Linked DNA regions of Oryzias latipes. The protein of the gene in region 3 purifies or fractionates together with the protein of the main gene of each other region. This does not show direct contact. Links are inferred from orthologs where the notes say so. Each region holds a gene or a part of one and is shown on either strand. Other genes may lie near its edges. The genes, in order: tarbp2, tnrc6a and protein argonaute-1.

Evidence for each region.
Region 1: the proteins of protein argonaute-1 (region 3) and tarbp2 purify together in Homo sapiens (co-immunoprecipitation; 4 studies listed by BioGRID and IntAct, with this or other methods). This does not show direct contact. The link is inferred for Oryzias latipes from reciprocal best matches to the Homo sapiens genes AGO1 and TARBP2.
Region 2: the proteins of protein argonaute-1 (region 3) and tnrc6a purify together in Homo sapiens (affinity purification with mass spectrometry; 10 studies listed by BioGRID and IntAct, with this or other methods). This does not show direct contact. The link is inferred for Oryzias latipes from reciprocal best matches to the Homo sapiens genes AGO1 and TNRC6A.

Annotation. Positions count from the first base shown.
Region 1 is NC_019863.2:10,469,141-10,473,249, forward strand, and holds the start of tarbp2 (RISC-loading complex subunit TARBP2), read right to left. Parts: upstream 2,851-4,109; 5' UTR 2,661-2,850; coding exon 2,608-2,660; intron 983-2,607; coding exon 668-982; intron 466-667; coding exon 396-465; intron 317-395; coding exon 199-316; intron 1-198. UniProt on the Homo sapiens protein: Required for formation of the RNA induced silencing complex (RISC). Component of the RISC loading complex (RLC), also known as the micro-RNA (miRNA) loading complex (miRLC), which is composed of DICER1, AGO2 and TARBP2.
Region 2 is NC_019866.2:17,690,690-17,695,082, reverse strand, and holds the start of tnrc6a (trinucleotide repeat-containing gene 6A protein), read right to left. Parts: upstream 2,874-4,393; 5' UTR 2,665-2,873; intron 1,314-2,664; exon of another isoform or gene 1,262-1,313; intron 1-1,261.
Region 3 is NC_019874.2:24,557,701-24,561,351, forward strand, and holds part of protein argonaute-1, read left to right. Parts: coding exon 1-65; intron 66-231; coding exon 232-391; intron 392-718; coding exon 719-809; intron 810-2,338; coding exon 2,339-2,533; intron 2,534-2,671; coding exon 2,672-2,806; intron 2,807-2,891; coding exon 2,892-2,993; intron 2,994-3,054; exon of another isoform or gene 3,055-3,065; coding exon 3,066-3,265; intron 3,266-3,473; exon of another isoform or gene 3,474-3,539; intron 3,540-3,651.

The DNA.
Region 1 (4,109 bases), on a different chromosome or scaffold from region 3:
ATTTGAAATATATCAACCTCAGTTCTGTGCTGTTTCATGACATTCCGATGCTAAAATAAGAAATAAAAAAATGACAGTTTTATAACATGAGTACAAACTAAAGTTTCAAAAATAATCAAATAGAAAAGCAGGGCAGTTTGGTTTAAAATAAAGTAAGAACTTGAAGTAGAAACAATATCTCCACATTGAGACTTATACCAATTTCGACAAATCTTTCAACTCTGCAGGTCATCGTAAATTCTTTGCGATGGGCTGGACCAGACTCCTGGGTGACTGTGTACTCTGGCAAACGCCATCCTTTCTGTACCACCAACTCCTAACATGAGGAAAAAACAAATTCAATGATTAAAAACTCAAAGACAGAATTTTGTTGAAGTTTTTTTGTGTTCATTTACCTGAAGAGCCCCGACAGGATTACATTCAGACTGCTGGGAAGTGTTTGTAGTTTTCATCTCTGACTGGGGTCTGCATGAAGGTGAAAAAGTAGACAGGACGTGTCAAACAGGTCTGAATCTCAATCATCTCAACAGAGTCTACCTGGGAATTATATGGAGACTCAACAATGTGAGGCATAAAAAGAAACATTAATTGACCTTTTGTATTAAAAAAAAAAAAAAAAAAGAAAAACAACAAAAAGGGAAACTTAAATATTAAGTTGTATCCTTACCCGTCTTCATCAACCAACACATCCACACCAACAAACTCGTCCACTCCGACAACGACACCAGCGGGACCTTCCAGGCTTCCTTTCAGCATCTTCAGAGCAGCCTCAGCTGCCTTGTGCTTAGCCGCCTTTTTGCTGGGCCCTTGGCCGGTGCAGCTGATCTCTCCCACGGAGACGCGGAATGTGAAGTTGGGCTGGTGGGCCTGTCCCTCTGCCTTCAGCAGGTCATACACTGGGGTTTTGCCTATCCGCGTTCCATACTCCTGCAGCAGACTGATGGGCGTCTTTCCGGGATTCACAGCCAGCATTTGCTCAATACTAGATGAGGAGGGGAAAAAAAACAACAGTTTTAATTAAAAAAAACCTTGATATGCTCTGTGTAGACGATGCTGTTCGATTTAAAAAGAGTTTAAAGAACTATTCAGATGAAAATAGTGTTTTTTAAGCATGCTCTTGTGGCATTTTTCTGATGATGGAGGATATATATGCTGTGAATCAGGCAAAAATGCAGTCGGAAAAAGCTTGTAGATGGGAAGTGGAAGGTACTATGGTAGGCCACAAGCTCCCTGCTCCACTCCATTCTGATGCATCCACTTGTAGACGACAAGATCCATGTATGTCTTTGTTTTCCTCGTCTGAGATGGAATATGGCCTTAAAACTGTACGGCTGGATAGCTCAGATATTGCTCGTCATTTTTGTTGCACCATTAATGTTAGGTTGGGGGTGTGAGAAACAGAGGAATGTCAAGAAGAAGGGGCGGGCTTACTCTGTGCCAACAGTCCTGCCTATAACAGGCACATTTTTTTCCCTTTCTTTTAAAGTAAATATTACGTTGATTATTTCTATGATGTATTGTGATTTTAATGCATTTTTCTGTTTTGTGAAGCACCTTGAATTACTTTGTGTACGAATTGTGCTATACAAATAAACTTGCCTTGCCACATTTCTGATAAACCCCTGCCACTCTGCAGAAACTATGTCCAAAAAAAAGGACAAGCTTTATAATTTAGGCCAAAAATGGCAAAATCAGAATAAAAAGACAGCTGGGAATGCTTTTACAATAGATAAAAAGATGACTGGAGTAAATCTTTAAGAGGTTAAATAAAACAAATATTACAGTCAAATTATTATTAACCAGAACTTCCCCAGAAACACTAAGCTATAAAATGCTTAAAGTACATAAACTGTCCTTGAAATGGTTCTCTTAGTTTCAAATGACAGTAAACAAGTCATTTTTCAGTGACTGGTTTTTGATTAAAAAAAACTGTTTAAATTAACTACTTGAACTAGCATTTTGGCCAGTATAACACACAAAGATGTAGAATGCTATGCAATTAAATTATTACAAAGAATAAAAGCAGCTTTGTGACAGGATTATAGAGAATCTACAACATGGGTTCGCCGATTCTCAGGATCCTGAAATGAGCAAAGCCCGTTCCTCTGATTGAAAGCTGGAGGTGAAAGAAGAGTTCAGTCATCATAAGGAGGGAGGTCACTATTAATTTCAGAAGTTCTTGTGCATGGTTCAGTTTCCAACGCTTTACAGACAAAACGTCTGTTTAACTGGTGTCACCCAATATCTGAGTAAAACAAATTACATAAACTTTCAAAACAAGGCAGGTTAACATGGGTGTGAAAAGGAGGAGGAAGGGCATGTTGGGATGGCCTAGTGTCTTCACGTGGTGTACATTTGTCCATCACTTAGAGACACCAGCATCTCCTATCAAAAGAAAGTCTGCATGACACCCGTGTATACATATTTCTCTATGCAGGCTTCTGACTGAAAGATAAACATTAAATAAAAAATACTGTGCTGCTGCAGGCTTGGATCATCGTGAACTCAGGCCTCAAAAATGTTTAGCTGCATTAAAAACTAAGAATTGCTCATTGCTAGGAATTGCCAGCAAAGACAAGATTTGAGTTAGCTTAGCTTTGGACTCACCTGGAGCACCCGGAGTTTCTCTTCCAGCTGTCCGATGCTGTATCGTCGTTCATTCCCTATTTCACGCAGATAGAGCTGAACTATTGCGGATGGAAAATCCTTCTACCAAAAGCTTATCTAGCATTCATTAGACACGAGTGTTCGTTTGAGTTCTAATCCCATTTTAAGGCTACAGTATTTGAAAGAAAAACGAAGTAAACCCCCTCCATAGCGACAGCGTTCGGCGCACAAATATGACGTAATAGCATCCTGTAGCACACACAAATCGTGATTGGCCGAAAGAAGCGCGGGCTTTTCCTAGTACCAAATATGTCTTGAATTAATACAACATGAACATGTAACATTACAAAAGTACAAAGGGCATAACACAACTTAAATAAATGTTTAAGATGCAATTATTATGGGTAATATGGGTAATCAATGAATGACATGATATGATGTGTATAAAATGAATACAATGATTTGTAATTGTAGTCAGATTGAACTAAAAATTAAAGGCCATTATTTGAAGAAACATAAACAAGTAGAAATGTTTCTACAAAAATCAAGTTAATATTTTTGGCAAGTCTATTCCATGAAAATGGAAATAAGTTGATATATTACACAACTCAAATAAGCCATTTAGCAGTTAAAACAATTTAAAATTTTGTTAACTTATTTTTGAAACTGATTTTGTTAGAGCCGGGGGTCCAGAGCTCTGGAGCCACATGCGGCCCTCCATTATTAGCTCTGCAGTTTTGAAGGAAAATGCAAACGTTTTGAACAAATAATAGGTTTGTTAGTTATGTTTTTATTTACTCTTAGATTTTTAAACTGAAGAAATTTTACCATAGTTAAAAATGAACTCTTTTTTCCCCTTACTACTCTACTTACCTACCTTACTCTAAATCAAGAGGCATTGAAAGCTTTACCGTTCCTCCAAAATGCATTCATTTTTGTAATAATTTAAATTATAAATATTAAAACAGATTATAATACTAATTAAAATAATTACCGGTATTATAAGAATAAGTTTTAACTCATATTCCTACCTATCTAGTTGCTTTTCAGATACAAAGTTCTCAAAATAAAAATTGTATATCTACTATAGCAGGATCTTATTTGACAGGATTTATTTTATTTTGCAAAGAATTTGCATGTGCTATCCCAAAAGTAATACAATAGAAATATAACACAACTATAAATCTATTATTTAAAATGTGTAACCCTTGTGCTATCCTAGGCACAGTAACATTGGGAGTTGGGTCATCTGAACCCACTAGACAGTGCGCTGAACCTTTTTTCTTCAATGATTTGTGATTTTCAGTGGTGTCCATGGATTCCATGAAATCCTCTTCACCTTTATCCACCTTTGTCATGGTAGGAATAACACATCAATGTAAGGGTGGGGTCATTTTGACCCCACAAGATAGCACAAGAGTTAAAAACTATAAATGAATGGCCTACTGGACAGAAAAATATGATAGGCTTTACTTCTAAACAGTAAAGTGGGATTTTGTGGC
Region 2 (4,393 bases), on a different chromosome or scaffold from region 3:
GTGAGCGAATACTTTGGGTAATATAGTGCATTTTAAGCAGCAACATAAGTTCCAGGAAAATAAAAGCAAACCACCATAATAGAGTATATTGGTAAACACCATGAGTTGACTTAACAGGATTGTTTTCTTCACAAAATAAAAATTCGGGTAATTTTCCTACTCCAGATAAGAGAATTGACCAAGCAGATCTAACACTAAATAACTGGTTACTGAAACCAGCAATAGTGGTCATAACTGAACCGTTTGAGTATACAAAGTAGTCATGAGACATAGTCCTATTGTGTGCTTACATGTGCAATGATTGTCTAAACACAATGAGCAGTACAAACACCTCCCTGTGCACAACACATCAGGACGCTGGCTTCTCATTTAGAAATGGGGGGAAAGGCTACAATTCAGCACAATGTGACCTGACCAACCCAGACCCCCCAATTCAATTCAAACGGAACTGCATGTGCTAGCATAAGCAGGCGCAGCTCATCCCAAGCCCCCGCCCCTCCCAGCGGCTTCCCAAACTCACAACGCTGACAGAACATCACTCAGACAGCCATGACATCATATACTGGGATTCAGAAAATGTATTGCTTTCACTTTGGTTTACACTGATAATTCAACAAATCAGATGGGGTATGGTTAAACCTATTAAACATTTGTGACAAAACACCCCAAAGAAAGACCCACTCAAATCATCTTTGGATCTATTTTAAAAGCATCCAGTGATGTTTTAATTATGATAATGATTTAATTATGATTTTTAGCCAAAATCAAACACCAGTGAGAGCAGCAGCAGTTCATTAGAAATTCACCTCCGAGTTGTGGACAGGACTGTTTGTGTGGAGTAAGTCCGCCCCCACTTCCCATCATACATCTGTTTACATGCTTTCCCACAAGTTTACAGCCCCTTACAACCCCAACCTAACATTAGCGGTGCAACAAAAATGGCGAGCAAAATTTGAAGCTATCCAGCTGTACAGTTGACCCAGATGCCAGCTCAGACGAGGAAAACAAAGACAGACATGGATCTGGTCGTCTACAAGTGGTTGCATAAGAATGGCTTGCCAACGTTTTTTCTACATCACAAATACAATCCATTTCAAACTGCATTTTCCCCCTCTGCTCCTGATTAACCATTAGTCAAGAAAAAGTCAGAAATGCAGTTTTGAACATAAATTTGTTTATATATGTCACCAATCATCATTAACTGCATTAAACCATTTCAGCATCACCAACAGTTTCCTGGGTTTAAAAGAGTTTCACTCACCCGTTAAGACGCTTTAGTTTCTTTGGTGGCAACAGTTTCCAATTCCAAATCTCTTTAGCAAAAAGAGAAAGGAAATAGTTTATTCCCAAAGATAAATGAATAAAGTTAAGTGTAACCAGAACATTTTCCTGCAGAAAGTACCCGATTGTGCAAGAAAATGATTCTAGTGAACACCATAGTACAAGTTCCCAGAGGCATTAACTTGTAATATGACCTGCAAACTTTGAAACATTCCTAAAATCACATTCAGGGCAAACATCCAAATTATCCTGCACGCATAGACACTAGCATGAAGTATTATGCAAGTTCAGTACATACACTCAAAGTGAACTGTGGTGAAATGCACGTTTACACTGCCTTAACGTGGTACAGAGGTTTCTTACAGCTCGTCAAAGTGAAGGGAAACCAAGTGCGTGTAAAGTGACAGCAGGGGACAGTGAGAGTCTGTGTAGGTCAAAGTTACAAGTCGGGTCCTGAACGGCCATTATCTCAGCTGTTGCCCGACTTGCAGCTTAACCAACATGGCTTCTCTCTCCAGCTGTAGGTTTGCAATCAAATCTAAGAACCTCGAGTGATAAGTAAATTTACCACCGATGCATATTCATCTAAACTCTGATGTCCACCTCGGTGTTGTAAGATCAGGACGAAAAGTAATGTGGATTTGACTACAAAAAAACCCAGACCAGATTAGGGGTTTAGGGGTATTGCTGTCGTACCGCTTTATACCATAGGGGGCTTTTATCTAACAACTCCGCAGGTTAATTTCAATATAGATTTGAAATTAATTCATGACATTTTTAATTTATATGCGAAGTGATAGTAGTAAAACAGTGTTCTTAATGCAATTTGTGCACAGTATTACCTGTTCCCACCGACGAACCTGCGTCGTCAAATTAGCATGTTGCTAAGCTAATGCTAATAGCAACTACGAGGTATTTTTCCTCTAATTTAGCGATATTGGTAAGTTGTTTACAGAGAACAATGATAGTCTAGACAAAGTAAAAAAAAAATACATTTAAGACAATTAGTTAACAAAATACGCATTTTCCTAGCTACAAACATACAGCGACCAATCTAGAATAGTTAAGCGAAAGGACAAGGTTAAACCGCCTTGTTAACACATTTAAAATGGCTTTATTTTTCATTTGCGTTTAGGAAAAAACAAACGAGAGTTGCATCTTTAGCAAAACTATAAAACCAAACCGCCTTTCTAAACGCAACCTGATAGGATAGGAAAGGATAGCATAGTAGTACTTAACAATATTAGCTCCGTCATAGCTAACTAAACAACAGCGGCTGGTCAACTTATCTACCGACCTCTGGTCTTTCCTCCAGCTCCTTGCCTGCATAGCTTAACACAAGAACATAAATAAAAAATAAATAAAAATTAAAACAAAACTTACCTCATTGAAATATAAAGTGCAACAGAGAGTGGAAAATAAACTAAGTAAGGCTAAAGAAATGCAATGCGTTTGCAGCATCTACGAGTGGGGGCATTCATCCTCTGCACGATCGCCATTTTCTTGGCTCGCCGCTTTCGTTTGTGCTCTACGCTCCCCTCCTCTCTGCGTTCACTCCGTAGACATTAATAAGGTTTACACTGGCTCAGGCTGTGTACGTGTGTGATTCTAAGAGGGGGGAAGGAGGCGGGGGCGGAAACGCATAACCACTTCCTCTGACTGAGAAGACAAAACGCTGTAAAAACAAACAAACAAGAAAAACAATATATTATAGAAAAGCTATTCAGTCGCATTAAATTCTGCTTTCATCAGACAAACATAAACAAAAGTATATTGTTTGACGATTTATAAATTTATTAAAATTTAAGAAAAAAATTTGATGTAAGATTTGAAACACATAGGAAATGCTGTCCGTTTTAAATTTGTCTCAAATTATAGAATTTTGAAAGTGTGTCACTCCCCATCTAAAACATACTTTGGTATTTCTACATAGTTAAAGTTTGATGGCAAGTACGACAATTGTGACAAATAAATGCACATTTTGTGTATGAAATTACACATTTAAAGCAAAATACTTTAACTTGTGGATGAACAAGACAAGGAACTTTCCTTTAATAAATTTGTAAAATCAACTGAAAATGGACAAAACTAGAAAACTATTGACAAGGTAAAAATACTTATAAATACAAATACTAATAAAATACTAATAAATAATAGTAATAAATAAATTATACATATACATATACATATATATATATATATATATATATATATATATATATATATATATATATATATATATATATATATATATATATATATATATATATATATATATATATATATATATTGTCTATCTATCTATCTATCTATCTATCTATCTATCTATCTATCTATCTATCTATCTATCTATCTCTCTCTCTCTCTCTCTCTCTCTCTCTCTCTTTCTTTCTCTCTCTCTCTCTCTCTATCTATATATATATATACATACATATATTTATATATGTCTATAAAACTAAAAACAAATGCCCCTCTAACCCTTCCGCAGGTGGTTTCTCCTCCAAGCTCGGGTCCTCTTCCAGAGGCCTGGGAGCTTGAAGGTCCTGTGCAGTATCTTGGCTGTTCCTAGCACTGCGCTTTTCTGGACTGAGAGGTTTGAGGTCTTTTCAGGGATCTGTTGCAGCCACTCCTCCAGCTTGGGGGTTACTGCCCTGAGTGTTCCAATTACCACAGGCACCACTGTCACCTTCACTTTCCATGCTTTCTCCAGTTCTTCTGAGTCCCTGGTATTTCTTCAGTTTCTCATGTTCCTTCTTCCTGATGTTCCCATCGCTTGGCACTGCCACATCCACCACAATGGCTTTCCTCTGTTCTTTATCCACCACTACAATGTCTGGTTGGTTCGCCATTACCATCCTTATCAGTCTGGATCTGGAAGTCCCACAGGATCTTTGCCCTCTCATTCTCTACCACCTTCAGAGGTGTTTCCCATTTTGACCTTGGGGTTTCCAGTCCATATTCTGCACACATGTTCCTGTATATTATTCCAGCCACTTGATTGTGGCGCTCCATGTATGCTTTCCCTGCAAGCATCTTACACCCTGCAGTTATGTGCTGAATTGTTTCAGGTGCCTCTTTACACAGCCTACACCTTGGGTCTTGTCTGGTGTGG
Region 3 (3,651 bases):
GAAGAACACATACTCTGGACTACAGCTCATCATTGTCATTCTTCCAGGAAAAACTCCAGTCTACGGTATTTCTCTGCTTTGCTTTTTGCTTTATTGTATTTATTACTTTGGATCAAAGGGATGAACAATTCTAAAGGTTTTCCAGGCAATCCTATTTACTTTGGAATTTGAGGTGTAGCAATCAACTGTTGTAACTTTTCCATATTTTATTTCACCTTTTTTTTTAAATAGCTGAAGTAAAGCGTGTGGGAGACACTCTTCTTGGCATGGCCACCCAGTGTGTTCAGGTGAAGAACGTGGTGAAGACGTCACCTCAGACCCTCTCCAACCTCTGCCTCAAGATCAATGTGAAGCTGGGAGGCATAAACAACATTCTGGTGCCTCATCAGCGGTGAGCTTTTTCTAAAGCGACATTGAAATGTGTTCTCTGAATAACTGCTAGACAACCATTGCAGACGGTCTTCCTTTGATCGTTCTGATGTTATTAATTTCATTTTTATGACCCATTTTTGCCCTTTTGCAGCCATGCGTGGGTGGAAAAGGTCTAAAACTTTTTTTTTTTTTTTTTTTTTTTACAAAGCCTCATTAAAGTTTTTTTTTTAAAACTTGTGTTAAAAACATTTGATGTCATTTCTGTATTGTCATAATATTACTCATTGAAATCCTGTGCTACTTGAGGAAGTATAATTTCCCAGTTCTCTTCCATGTGCCCCCTCAGTTCAGCAGTGTTTCAGCAGCCTGTTATCTTCCTGGGAGCAGATGTCACCCACCCCCCAGCTGGAGATGGCAAGAAGCCCTCAATTACTGCAGTGAGTCTCTAAAATCATGAATTTGAAAAAGTTATGGATAAGACTTGGACTGGTCTAATCTTAACATCTGGGTAAAACCTGTGTTTTCAGAAGTGCTTCTGACTTTAACTAGGATGAACTCAGTACTCATTTACTTCTGCCTTACAGGGAAAATGGAAATGTCCTAGAATTTAATCTCCAATTCTTTCAGTAGGGAGATAAACCAATAAGTTATCGAGGATAGGCTGCAGTTTGAATACATTACATTTTGTTTTTAGTTGCACTTTACAAGACGAGTTGAATGCCATTTCCACCATTAAAGCATCTCTCCCAGAAAGTCAGGTTTACACAATTTTACCATTTTTAATTGGATTACACATTTAAATAATTTAGTCATTTTCATAGACAAAATTAATCTTAGTTTAGCTGGAAATGTTTTCCGTTTTACAACGTGAACCCTCACAAATAGATGTTATAATTTCTATCTTAATTAAATAAATCATTCAAGCACAATAAATACACATGTTTAGGTTTGTCATTACCTAGAAAAAATCTTATTTTGTGATCATAAATACTCTGTTCACTCAACCTTCACCTCTAAGCTTCAATAAGCACACATTCTACTGGACTTTCAGTTTAGCCTCGTCACACCACACATGAGCACGAACAAAGGGAAAAAGGTAATAAAGGAGGAGCTTTACGAGAGACACGGATGCCTCATCACCGACTGTTTAGACAGGAAGTGACGGCAGCTACCGTTCTCCCTTTACCTCACCTCAGCTGTGGTTGGCTGTGTGGTTGCCTAGCGATTATGTCGAATGATTGAGTCACACAGAGAGGATTGGAGGAGAATAGGTAAGCCAGAAGCATCCTTACACAGGAGAAAATAGGTGATAAAGAATAACGTCGAGCCTACGCATTTCTCCAGTAGCAGCACTTAAGGGATGTTCACAAAAGTACACACAGACAAAAAAGACTGAAAGTACAACGATGCAACAAAGGAAGGATGTTGTATAGGCCATTTTCCAGTGTTAACTTTGATTTTTTTTTGTAGTTTCAGAACAAAGGTTTTTACGTATATGAAGAGCTATTACTATGTCAATTAGTGTATTTAAAGACAATTAAGTGTCTTTATTCATTCATTTTCTACCGTTTTATCCTTTCGGGGTCACGAGGCTGCCAGAGCCTATCCTGCCTATCCTGGCTACTAGGACTGTTCGCCAGTCTGTCGCAGGGCCACAATCACACACCCATTCACACAATCACACACCCATTCACTCTCACACTCACACCTAGGGACAATTTAGAGTTGCCACTTGACCTATGAAGCATGTTTTTGGACAGTGGGAGGAAGCCGCATGCACGGGGAGAACATGCAAACTCCACACAGAAAGGTGTTGATGTTTGGTTTCAGGTCCCCCAGCCGGGACTTGAACCAGGGGCCTTCTTGCTGTGAGGCAAGAGCGCTAAACACTGCGCCACAGTGCAGCCCAATTAGTGTCTTTAGTGTAATTTTTTTTCCAACATCTCTGCTGCTCCCCCTCTTTCAGGTGGTGGGCAGTATGGATGCCCACCCCAGCCGGTACTGTGCCACAGTGCGGGTCCAGAGACCCAGGCAGGAAATCATCGAAGATTTATCTTACATGGTGCGCGAACTGTTAATTCAGTTCTACAAGTCGACCCGATTCAAGCCCACCAGGATCATTTTCTACAGGGATGGTGTTCCTGAAGGTCAACTGCCACAAGTAAGAGACTCAAAGAAACGCACTGCTGTGAACTTTCCAAAGTAAAATGTTTATTTAAGGGGCCTTTTTCTTAATTTATTATATATTATTTTTTATATATGCCTTAGAAATAAAGTATTATTATTTTTGGTTATGTAGATTCTCCACTATGAGCTTCTGGCCATCAGAGATGCATGCATAAAGTTGGAGAAAGACTACCAGCCTGGTATCACGTACATCGTGGTACAAAAACGCCACCACACACGCCTCTTCTGTGCCGACAAATCTGAGAGGGTGAGTGCTCCACTGTTGTTTCAATCCCTCCTGAAATGTCTTTATTACATGTCTGTATTTATATTTGTCTCCTTTTCTTTTCCAGATTGGTAAGAGTGGCAATATTCCTGCAGGGACTACAGTGGACACCAGCATCACTCATCCCTTTGAGTTTGACTTCTATTTATGTAGCCATGCAGGCATCCAGGTAATCAACTCACTAACGCGTCAACCTTTGACCCCAGCCCCCCCTGCTAATGCAAACCATTTTCTTTGCCAGGGCACCAGCCGGCCGTCTCATTACTACGTCTTATGGGACGACAATCGTTTCACCGCTGATGAGCTGCAGATTCTAACCTACCAGTTGTGCCACACCTATGTGCGCTGTACCCGCTCGGTCTCCATCCCGGCACCAGCCTACTACGCTCGTCTTGTGGCCTTCCGTGCCCGCTACCATCTGGTAGACAAAGAACACGACAGGTCAGTAGGTTTCAGGTCATTTTTGGCCAAAATAAAAAAAAAAACTGTCGTTTTCAGAGTGGCTGTAGTTCTCCCCCTTACTAAGAGCTTGGAGCAGAGAGCTTGTGCCGCGCCCATCGTATTTTTTATTTCACAAAGAAGCCAGTTTTTAAACAGCATTTTTCGTCTGCTCTTGATTCACAACGATTTGAAAAAAGGAAATACTCACTGCAACAGACTGTCCAGGGTGTGCCCCGCCTTCTCACTGCAGTAGCCGGGTCAGGCTCCAGCAACCCTGTGACCCCGAAAGGAATATAGAGGGTTAAGAAAATGGATAGAATACTCAGAAATGCAATTTTGTGCCAAATCTTCTCAAAATATGTCCTCCAGCATCAGAAAAATGCCTC